Linked DNA regions of Oryzias latipes. The protein of the gene in region 1 binds, or shares a complex with, the protein of each later gene. Links are inferred from orthologs where the notes say so. Each region holds a gene or a part of one and is shown in the gene's direction. Other genes may lie near its edges.

Region 1 (3,654 bases):
AAGCCACCTAGTGGTGACTTGGTGAACTGACTGGTCTGTGGTTTCAACAGCAAACAGGACGTCTCACCTAGAATACGTTTTTTTATTTTATTTCAATCCCATAAGCGGGTTTATTCAGATTTAGTCAGGCGTTGCTTAATCCTCTTGCCTCTAAGCATTAAAACTCAATGTGCTTTTCTTTGTTTTGCTTTCAGGGCAATAAAATTTACCAGGAAACGTAAACTTACATCGTCTTTTTGCAAACCTATTTGTAATCTACGGTAATATTTTAATTTTTTTGCTGCATGTTCCCCATTTAAGGTCACAGGGTTGCTGGAGCCTGTCCTTGCTACAGTTGGACAGAGGCGGGGTACGCCCTGAACAGGTCGACAGTCTTTTATTTTGAAAATTTGAACGGATTTGGTCTTCCTGCCTGAAAGACATCAAACAGTGGTGATGCACCCTTTCTAAGCTTTCAGCTTTTGTCTTATTTAAAGACATTTTAAACTTTTACATTTTTACATGTTTTGATTTTATTCTTTTATTTATTGGCCGCTTTTAATTGCTGCTACTCAAAATGAGCGAACCAAAAAATAAAGCTCTAAAGAGTCATACGAACATTGTTCTTTGGTTCTCCAGGGGGGGAAAAAACATTTTTATTATCAATCACAGTGGATTAAAATAAATAAACAACACTTAAAAACAAATACCTGAAAGAGTTTTATAAATTATTCTTAAACTTTCAGACAGATCAGATGTTGGAACAGATTTGATCTTTAAATCAAATTTGTGGCAAAATAAATAAAATGATAAGAATCAAAAGCTTTTCTGTGCGGCGTCTTCGAGCGAGCTGGACTTCCCCGCAGCGCCGTCACGTTCCACGACCTTTTCCTTTCTGGAAACATTATTTTTATCAAGTTTCGTCCAAACCTCCCCAGTTACCGCCGTGGAGGCCGGACCGACCCCTCCCCCTGATGAAGGCAGACCTTTTTTTCCATTAACACCGGAGCGAACGGCTGCATACAAGGCTGTTTAAGCGTGAGTCTTTTAGAAACAACCAGCGGCTGCCCTTCACTCCGCATCACCGCAGAAATCTGCTTTTTGTTTAAAAAAAATCCACTGGAGGAGTTTCAGAGCGAACGTGACGGCTTCTCAAGGTTCCTCTTTTCAGCCGGCCGCTCGGGTGCTGCTCTCTCAATGACTCAGTCCAAAGAATGTTGTTTCCACCTTGAGATACAAATAATCAGCAGGCCCCCCCCTATAGGCTGAAGAGCCGGGTCCCCCCCTCCCCTCCTCTGAATAGACTCATCTTCAGAGCTTTATTAAAATGTTCTTTTTCATCATTTTCTCCCCTCTTTGTCAGATAAACAAAGATTTGGCCGACGATCCCGCATGCATACATACAAAAAATATCTAATATTTAAATAATATATATTTAAATATATTCCCTACATAAATCAAGGTTTTTGTCTTTGTTATAAACTTTTAACCTTACCCAAAATGGGATAATTCCAAGTTTCTCTGATGGAAATATTAGGATATCTTTGAAATTTAATCTTCAAATTCAATTAAAATAAGTAAAAAATCCTTTATTGAGGATAAATGTTGCAATAATTCTTTTATTCTTGTCAAATAATTAAAGAATTTTAATTTGGATTGATGGTAAACGCTTGGCACATGATATTCTTAATTGGATTTTCAATTAGTTTCATTTTATAGTTTGTGGGTGTGCGCCAAAGCCTCCCAGCCAGCTCTCGTTTGAAAAACAGGGACTTCCTGGTTAAATAAATATTCAGCCAAAAGGAACTCGTCTGATGTTGCTTGAATTTGTCCTACAGAAGTTCTTTCTTCCTCTTAATCCTCCCGTTTCTGGCTCAGGCTTAACCACGTCTGTTAATCTACATTTTGTGTGTATTTCTGTGAAAAACACCCTAAATGTAAAGCAATATTGCTCTTTTTGGTGCTTAAATTTTCCAACGTCATGGTTTTTTTGTTGTTGTTTTTGTTATTCTGCTCTTAAAAATGTATAAAAATATTTCATTTTAAATTGCTTTCTGATCTGATCATCGTTTACTCTCCTAAACTTCCAAGTCAGTCCTTTTACATTATGATAAATCTAAAATATTTATGTTTAACATCTGACATTCTGTTAGGATTTTCTGCTCGATTCGTCTCAGTTTGTAATTTTTCTTCTTCCGCATTGCGAGAGCTGTTGGATCATTTAAATCCGTTAAAAATGAATGAATTTCTCCTAATTGGTGGAAAAAAGATTTATCATGGCCGGGATATCAGCTCTATTTTATTCCGACTTTTTCCTTTTTGTTTATTTACTATATTTGAGATTCTTTAATAGGAATGACTGTATATTAATACATTTATGTACGCTTTTGGTTGGTGGGATACCTTAGGAAAAAGTGAACTTTGGTTGAAAAACATTGATCTAAATAGTTAATAAGAGGTGATCTGCCTATATTTTCTAACTTCTTTCTAATCTCCAACATTTAAGTCTTCATTTTTTTTAGTGAAAATGGTATTTTACTCCACAACTCAGAGATGAACTTCTAATGAACTCCTCCTGCCGCTCTGCAGAAACTATGACCTTGAAAACCACACGTTTGTTGATTTTGCTAATAATGGTAATCAAAAGACCTTTGGGGGTGGTTTGAGAATAGATCCAAAAAGGATTCAAGTGGAACTTTGAAGAAACGTAACAGAGTTTATCCTGTTCGTAATGAATCCATTAGTTGTAATCACTTTAATGCAAATGTCTGCTGGCAACCTTCATGACAAAAACCGCCAAACGCTCCACTCCAGCTCACCTGCTGGTCGCCTACCTGCCGTTTCAGTGGCACCGCACGCCCACCACCCAGGAGACGGACGGCTTCCAGGTGAAGCGGCCGGGCGACGTGAGCGTGCGCTGCACGCTGCTGCTGATGCTGGACTACCAGGTGAGGGGCCGCAGACTCCACGCCGCCTGCATGTCTGAGGGCGCCGCGCCGAAGGCTTGAACGTGCGTGAAAAGCCGAGTAACGTGATGACCTGGCCTCCACAGCCCCCCCAGTTTAAGCTGGACCCTCGCCTGGCTCGCCTGCTGGGCATTCACACGCAGACCCGCTCCTGCATCATCCAGGCGCTCTGGCAGTACGTGAAGACCAACAAGCTGCAGGACTCCCACGATAAGGAGTACATCAACTGTGACAAGTACTTCCAGCAGGTGCGTGACGTCATAATGCAACAAGATCCCACCAGTTTGACCCTTTTTTAATTGTTTTTCATGAATTTAACTGATATTCCTCAAGACAAATATGCAAAAAGCTGAACGTTTTTTGGCTCTGCTATCATCCGTTATGGATAAATGATTTAGAGGATCTGCAGAAATGGCTGTTTGGTGGTTTTCCTGCAGTAAAAAAACATTCATGATTATTAATGAGCACAGAAACGCACTAAAGCGGATGGAGACCACCAGGAGGAAGAACTCGGTCTGGATGGATGAAAACAGGGCTAAGAGTCCTTTTTTTTTTAACTTCTCAGAAATCTGGGATGCTGCATCCTCTACAGAGAAGAGACCACCCAGCCGGTTATCAGCCTGTGATTCAAACTCTTGAAGGACACAAGCTCCTCGCACAAAGATTAGATCAGGGACGGCTAATTCGTTTTTATCAACAACAAATTTCA
Region 2 (4,227 bases), on another chromosome or scaffold:
GGAGCAGGGAGCTTGTAGCTCGCCATAGTAGCTTCTATGTCACATCTACAAGCAACTGGTCCTGAATCACAGTGATTTGAATAAAGAAATACTCAGAGATGCAATTTTAGGCTTAATTTTTACATAAATGTCCATTATAATGAGAACAAAATGTCACAAAAATATGTTAAAAACACACAAATAACGACTGTCTTTGAGTGGGACCTTAAAGATATTTAAATAAAAGAGTCGGGCAATTACTGTGTCATTATTATAAAGCTTTTTCTAGTGATTACAACTGAAGCAAACTTACATCTCTTTTCTATGAACTGGTGCAGAAGGCAGGATTTGCCTGTTCCAGCATTTCCAATCACTAGGAATTTAAACAGAAAGTCTGCAGAGGGAACACAGTAGTAACATAGATAAAGCAAACAGGGTTTGAATATGCTGCCTTGTTATTAATAAACTCAACTATTCTTAATTTTTTTTTGATACAGTTGTTGACATGTACACATCTGATGTCTACACTATACAAATCAAGACAAATGTGTCGTAAACAGATCGAACAAAGCCTTATATATATATATTTATTCTTTACTCCCACTAAGATAATTATCATGTTTAATGTTGGTTCAATTGATTGAACAGTTGTAGCATAGTGTAATTTGAGCAATGCCTCACAAAACACAGAGATATCCTATCATCACTTGCGTTTGCAAAAGAAAAGCGGGAGTCTCTTGCTTTGTGTCCTAGTGCTTATCCCGGGAACAATAGCATCTCCTATAGTCACAGCTTCTTGCATTATAAAGCTTTACTAATACACCTGTACCCGGAAGGCAGATTTATTAACGCTGACATTTGAGTTTAAAGGCCAAAACCTTCCTACTCCTCAGTGGCTCGGTTAGCCTGCCAGCTAGCTATTTGTTTACGAAGGGACCTCATCATCCCTTTCCTGCCATCTGTGTGTGAGATTCTAACGGGTATAAAGCAAGACAGCCTCCTTACCGTAAGACTCCGACATCCTCGGTGTGTCAGCTAAGCTGCAAGGCAGAGAAAGGCGAAACTGTTATTTGTTTAGCTTGCTAAGTGATGGAAATAGTCCTGTTGGTGATTTCCTTGGATTCTATGATTTCCTCCTCCAACTTCCTGTACGGTGTGTGTGGGTTTTTTTTCTTCAAAATAAAAGCATTCTGAAATGACACTTATGCCACATAGTCCTCAAACTACCGCGTGGGGGTGATGTTTGGATATGTTCTTATGGTTTCAATTAATGAAAAATAAATTCTCGCCGTTCTAAGTAAATTTTAAAAACAGCCCATTTCGCTGAGAGTTTTATCTATATGTAAATTAATTGGTTTGCATGTTGTGTACAAATTCTCTCTTTTTAACATATTTTTTGGAGGATCTAGGAGGTGGCGCTCTGAATTTACACAAACGTCAACCGAGTCCGTGGTTGTCCAAAGAAGAAGAAACGTAGTTTCCCCCGCTAATCATTAGCCTAGCTGTGGGCATTATTTATCTTAAAATGGCTACATTATTCCCTATTATTAGACCACCAAGTGATAGCAGTCCCGCTACTCCTGGGGCGCACTCCATGAAGGTGATTTTTTTCTACTTTGATAAATATCCATTAGCTGTTGTTTACGGGGAAACATGACGATGTTTTGCTAACAGATAGCTAGCTAGCCAACGGACGTTTCCATTCACTAGGACAACTGTCAGCCACTTTTAGCAAAATCATTTGTTTTCAAATGTGCTCAAATTACTTCCTCTTGAAGTAATTTGCTCCTATTATTCGTGTATTTCTCTATTAGTTTGCAACGTTGAAAAAATATATAAATAAAAAAAAACTAGATTGTGTAGCCATTTAAATATAAAGTGTTGCTAATTTTTTCCCTGTGTAATCCTAGTCAAACTAGTTTTGCACATGTTCCCATTTTCACAATAATACGGAGCCCCTAAAGGGCCATTGATGAAAAAAAAAAAAACTTGAGGAAATTTTTTTTTTTTGAAGTAAAAAAAAATTCTTTGAGCTAAAAATTTTTTTTTTGAAGTAAATAGGAAAAAAAACTAACTGGTGCGCACCAGTTAGTTTCAGGTGCGCACCAGTTAGTATCAGGTGCGCACCAGTTAGTTTCAGGTGCGCACCAGTTAGTATCAGAAGATATCAGATAGTTGACCTGCTTGCTCATTGTGCACCAAGTAGCTACAGTTGTCTTGAGAATGGCTAAAGTTGAGGATATGGACCTTATAAACTTTCTGAAAACACGAAATATTACTGACAATGTCATAATGTCACCTGAAACTAATTGGTGCGCAGCTGAAACTAACTGGTGGGCACCTGATACTAACTGGTGCGCACCTGAAACTAACTGGTGGGCACCTGATACTAACTGGTGCGCACCTGAAACTAACTGGTGCGCACCTGAAACTAACTGGTGCGCACCTGATACTAACTGGTGCGCACCTGATACTAACTGGTGCGCACCTGAAACTAACTGGTGCGCACCTGATACTAACTGGTGCGCACCTGATACTAACTGGTGCGCACCTGATACTAACTGGTGCGCACCTGATACTAACTGGTGCGCACCTGATACTAACTGGTGCGCACCTGATACTAACTGGTGCGCACCTGAAACTAACTGGTGCGCACCTGATACTAACTGGTGTGCACCTGAAACTAACTAACTGGTGCGCACCAGTTAGTTTCAGGTGGGCACCAGTTAGTTTTTTTTTTCCTATTTACTTCAAAAAAAATTTTTTTTACTCCAAAAGAATTTTTTTTACTCCAAGAGAATTTTTTTTTACTTCAAAAAAAAAATTTTTTCCTCCATTTTTTTTTTTTCATCAATGGCCCTTTAGGGGCTCCGTACAATAAGCTTTTCGATTCTATATATTTTGGTGTTCATCTGTTTGAAAAAAAATGTTGGTGAATCTTTTTTCCACTTCTGTAGGAAGATGTAATTGATGAGGTATCTAATGATGGGAGCCAGCCACCGAAAAGGAGGAGAATGGGTTCAGGGGACAGCTCTCGGAGCTGTGACACCTTCAGCCAAGAGCTTGGGTAGGCTACTTGTTTTTGCATTACAATTTGCCATTATTCTTAAGTAATTGCGTCAGATACCAACTTATAAATCTAATGTGTTGTTCCTGCCCCCACCTCCTCATCTAGGGTGACTTATTTCCCAGCAGAAAACCTAATAGAGTATAAATGGCCTCCTGATGATACAGGAGAATATTACATGCTGCAAGAACAAATCAGCGAGTATTTGGGTGTCACGTCATTCAAACGCAAATATCCTGGTAAGAATTGAACAATAATTCACAAAATGATCAGGAAAGGAAATGTTTAAGTGCGGTTGATTTAGCAACTGCCCAAATTATGTTTTGACCAGGGAATTTTTTTTAACATTCTTGTGCAGATATGGAGAGGAGAGACCTGTCTCACAAAGAAAAGCTCTACCTACGTGAGCAAAATGTTATCACTGAGACGCAGTGCACCCTGGGTACGAGCCAACCCTAAAACTCTTTGTTAATGCACAGACTTCATACATTTATTTATATTTCTTACATAATGTAGTGCTGTTGTATTTATATGCAGGATTGACAGCTTTGCGGAGCGATGAAGTGATCGACTTGATGATAAAGGAGTATCCAACCAAACACTCTGAGTACTCTGTGATATTGCAGGAAAAGGAGCGTCAGAGAATAGCTAAGGAGTACTCTGTAAGAACACCAGACTAGAACAACCTTTAGTTTTTATTAGAAATTGTCGAAACGCACGAACAAATAGTTGTACTCTCTTGTGCTTTTGCAGCAAATGCAGCAGCAGAACCCTCAGAAAGTGGAGGCAAGCAAGGTTCCTGAGTACATAAAGAAAGCTGCAAAAAAAGCTGCTGAGTTTAACAGCATCTTCAACAGGGAGCGAATGGAAGAGAGGAGAGCTTACTTTGACCTCCAGACTCACGTAAGTCTAATGGCAGATGGTTTAATAAATCTGCATCAGTGCAACGTTGGTTGAGCTTTTGACTGATGCAACTCCTTTTTGTCCTCTGCTTTTTGTCTCAGGTTATTCAGGTGCCCCAGGGAAGGTTCAAAGTTCTTGCTCCAGAACTAACCAGAACAGGACCCTACCCTGTTGCTCTTATCCCAGGTCAATTCCAAGATTACTATAAAAGGTACGTTCCATAACTGTTAGCTCTTCGTAAGTGACAGTAGTCTCTCAGTTAACGGTAAATAGATTTT
Region 3 (3,089 bases), on another chromosome or scaffold:
TTGTCATCAAATACATTGATAAATCTAGTCTCACGTGTGGGTGTATGTGTGTGTCTCTCTCTGTTTGTGTGTGTGTGTGTGTGAATGTGTGTGTGTGTGTAACCAGGCCACCCTTCCTGCCTGCAGTTTACAGTGAACATGACGGCTGCTGTGAGGACCTATCGCTGGCAATGCATCGAGTGCAAATCCTGCAGCCTCTGCGGCACCTCTGAGAATGACGTATGACCTCACTGCATGTTCACCTTAGACACATGGTCACAAACACATGCACATAAACACACATATGCACATAGGAACACAAAGACACATATGAATACACACACACATGAATGCATGCACACACACCCACACGCATTCACAAAAAAACACACAGACACACATGCACACACAACCACATACATGAACGTACACACATACAAAAAGAGAACACACACAAACACACATATGTACACACACATCCACAGTGCCTGTAATCATAGCACCACCCTGCTTTGGTAAAAAAAAACTGAATTTCTCTGTAAATTTGCAGGTTGGGACATTTATCCTCTGAGCTGATTTGGTCCTCAGGCCACGGCATTGTTCTATCATTACAACATCATGCAGACATTTCCAGTGATTCCTTTCAGACATCGTGAAACTGCATAACAGTGCTGAGACTGCTGCTCCCTGCTGTCTACAAAATAAAAGTTCACTTGGTTACAAGGGTTTTATATAATCAAGTGGATGTACAGTTTAAAATAACACTCTGGTTCTTCCTATATACACAAACAAACCACTTCCCACGTTACATCCACTGTTGCATCCTCAGCTTTCATTTCAAATCTGTTGCCTTTTAATAACACCTGCTCCTCTGATCTGTTGCAGGACCAGCTGCTGTTCTGTGATGATTGTGACAGAGGGTACCACATGTACTGTCTGAGTCCTCCTATGTCTGAACCGCCAGAGGGTATGCATCAATGTTTATGTCGTTCTCTACTCTTTCACAGAGCTCTGTAAATACATGTGTTCTCAGAGGATGGAAACTCTGGATTTTTGCAGGACTTTGCGTCTTTTTTCTGAAACGTCTTAACAAAGAATCTCAATGCCGAGGCTGTGACTCCAGAATGGAGAAAAAAATGCTACTTGCCCACATAAGATGGCTGCCTTAGGATGTTTTCTTCTGTTGTCATGGAGATGAGTTGTAGAAAAATAACCTGTTTCCATGGTGAAAATGTCACTTGGCTGAAGAAACCAGATCAGAGCCACTTGCGTTTAACACGCACTAGCAGTGTCAAGCCCCGCCCACAAATTTTATTTGTTCTAAGCTGTTTCTGAGAGAAATGCTGTGTTCTGTCACAATGTGAATGGCACAGCGTCTGTGCTTAATGCTTGCACAACATCTTCAGGCCAGATTAACATTCACTCTGAAGCGTTAAGGCTGAGAGGTGCACGTCAGCATCAGCCACACTTGATGTTTAATTAATGTCACAGCGCTCACGCCAAATTCCACAGCAAACTCCTCGTCAAATCCTCTGAATCCATAAACTGCAGGAGCAGCATGTGGCGCTTCAACACGCAGCTTTCATTTACAGTGTTGCTTAACGCTCTGTGTGAAACATGGGATTAAATCGGCAGGCTTTACAATAACCCACTCTGACCTCCTGATGTATGTCTTCCAGGGAGCTGGAGCTGTCATCTGTGTCTGAGACAACTGAAGGAGAAGGCCTCGGCCTACATCACCCTCACCTAATCTGTGGAGCTCATCTTTTCTGCCTCTCCCCAAACCGCCCCTCCATCCTCCTCCTCTGAGCTTCAGCCCCCTGCCTCTCCTCCTTTGATCCCCAACCTGCTGGTTCCCTTTGGCACCACTGAGCCCTCGCAGCGCTGCACCCACTCATGAACGTCCCTCCAGCACCCGGCCAACCTTTAGTCTGGAAAATTCCCCGTTGTGCTTCTCTTGACCCCCCTTCTCTTCAGTGCTCTGTGTCAGCAGAGAAGTTTGCTTGAAAGACTCGCCAGGTAACTTAGGGTCCTTCTGAGACGGACTGCTGCGGGAACCCTCTGAAGAACCTGGATGAACCCTGATGATCTCCAGCTGCAGCTCAGTTCAGCTGTGAGTGAGATTTAATACGATGATTAAGCGTTAAGGACGCTGCCGTGAAGAGCCTGTTTAAAGGATGGAGTACGATGTGTCAGCTTCCACGTTTGGAGCTGCAGCCCCTCTGCTGGCCTTCTGCGTCTGTGGAGGAGTGTGGTGCTGAACTCTGCTGAGGTTGAGGAAACAGACTGTATAGGACTCAAACTCTTTCCAGATCACTCATTCATGAAGATGTTTCTGAAAGCATCGGGTCAAGAACTGCTCTGGACCTCAGATACTCTTCTCCATGCTGATACAGACTGATGCCACGTTTGGGGCTTGATCGATTCAGAAGGCTGTGAATGTTTTTTTCAAATCAGCTGTTTTGAATGAAGACAGTATTTCAGAAAAGCTGTTTCAAATTTCCTCCTGCTGAGATTACCTCTAGTGAAACAAAGAGTGGGAGGTCAAAGCCAGCCTGAAACGGACCTGGTGCTCAGTGTGTGTCTTGTGGGATCAGAATGTAGGATGGATTTGGGGACAACGCAGGTCTTTGTCTGGCTCAAGTTGAGGCTGAAGTTCATATTTTTTATAACTCATTTTTTAAATTATGTTCTTGTGCATGTTGTTGTTTCAATTGTTTTTAAAGACTTTGAACTGAAAAGGAAAAGAAAGCACACTTAATCCGCAATAACGTGTTGGAGATGAGAACTCTGAAACCAACTGTTGTGTCCTTCAAGCTGCGTGTGTCTGTTTGTGTGCTCTTATTTTTGCGTTACGGCGAGGCAGCTCCATGTAAAATGTCACCGATTTACCTGTTCATGCAGTCTGGCAGGGGGAGGAGGGCAGAAATCTTAATGTTGGAGTCCACAGGTAGCACTGAGATGTAAGAAGGAAGTCTGGTAGTCTCACCTGTAACTTACCTTTGGTAACTTGTCTGATACACATATGAAGGAGGCACGCCTTGGGTTCTTCAAGCTTTCCTTAGTCGCAGCTAAAAGTCCATCTTTACTAACTTTATTTAGATTCTGGT

The links.
Region 2: smarcd3 (region 1) and phf10 share a complex: the UniProt entries of both Homo sapiens proteins name them as parts of the neural progenitors-specific chromatin remodeling complex. The link is inferred for Oryzias latipes from reciprocal best matches to the Homo sapiens genes SMARCD3 and PHF10.
Region 3: smarcd3 (region 1) and dpf1 share a complex: the UniProt entries of both Homo sapiens proteins name them as parts of the neuron-specific chromatin remodeling complex. The link is inferred for Oryzias latipes from reciprocal best matches to the Homo sapiens genes SMARCD3 and DPF1.

What each region holds. Positions count from the first base shown.
Region 1 is NC_019878.2:21,175,059-21,178,712, forward strand, and holds part of smarcd3 (SWI/SNF-related matrix-associated actin-dependent regulator of chromatin subfamily D member 3), read left to right. Parts: intron 1-2,825; coding exon 2,826-2,927; intron 2,928-3,031; coding exon 3,032-3,193; intron 3,194-3,510; coding exon 3,511-3,618; intron 3,619-3,654. UniProt on the Homo sapiens protein: Involved in transcriptional activation and repression of select genes by chromatin remodeling (alteration of DNA-nucleosome topology).
Region 2 is NC_019861.2:24,495,934-24,500,160, reverse strand, and holds the start of phf10 (PHD finger protein 10), read left to right. Parts: upstream 1-1,409; 5' UTR 1,410-1,504; coding exon 1,505-1,579; intron 1,580-2,936; coding exon 2,937-3,046; intron 3,047-3,154; coding exon 3,155-3,285; intron 3,286-3,404; coding exon 3,405-3,488; intron 3,489-3,583; coding exon 3,584-3,708; intron 3,709-3,799; coding exon 3,800-3,949; intron 3,950-4,050; coding exon 4,051-4,160; intron 4,161-4,227. Other genes in the region: rab4a (ras-related protein Rab-4A), read right to left, coding at 293-373, 985-1,000. UniProt on the Homo sapiens protein: Involved in transcription activity regulation by chromatin remodeling. Belongs to the neural progenitors-specific chromatin remodeling complex (npBAF complex) and is required for the proliferation of neural progenitors.
Region 3 is NC_019871.2:18,166,018-18,169,106, forward strand, and holds the end of dpf1 (zinc finger protein neuro-d4), read left to right. Parts: intron 1-106; coding exon 107-219; intron 220-864; coding exon 865-946; intron 947-1,658; coding exon 1,659-1,729; 3' UTR 1,730-2,467; downstream 2,468-3,089. UniProt on the Homo sapiens protein: May have an important role in developing neurons by participating in regulation of cell survival, possibly as a neurospecific transcription factor. Belongs to the neuron-specific chromatin remodeling complex (nBAF complex).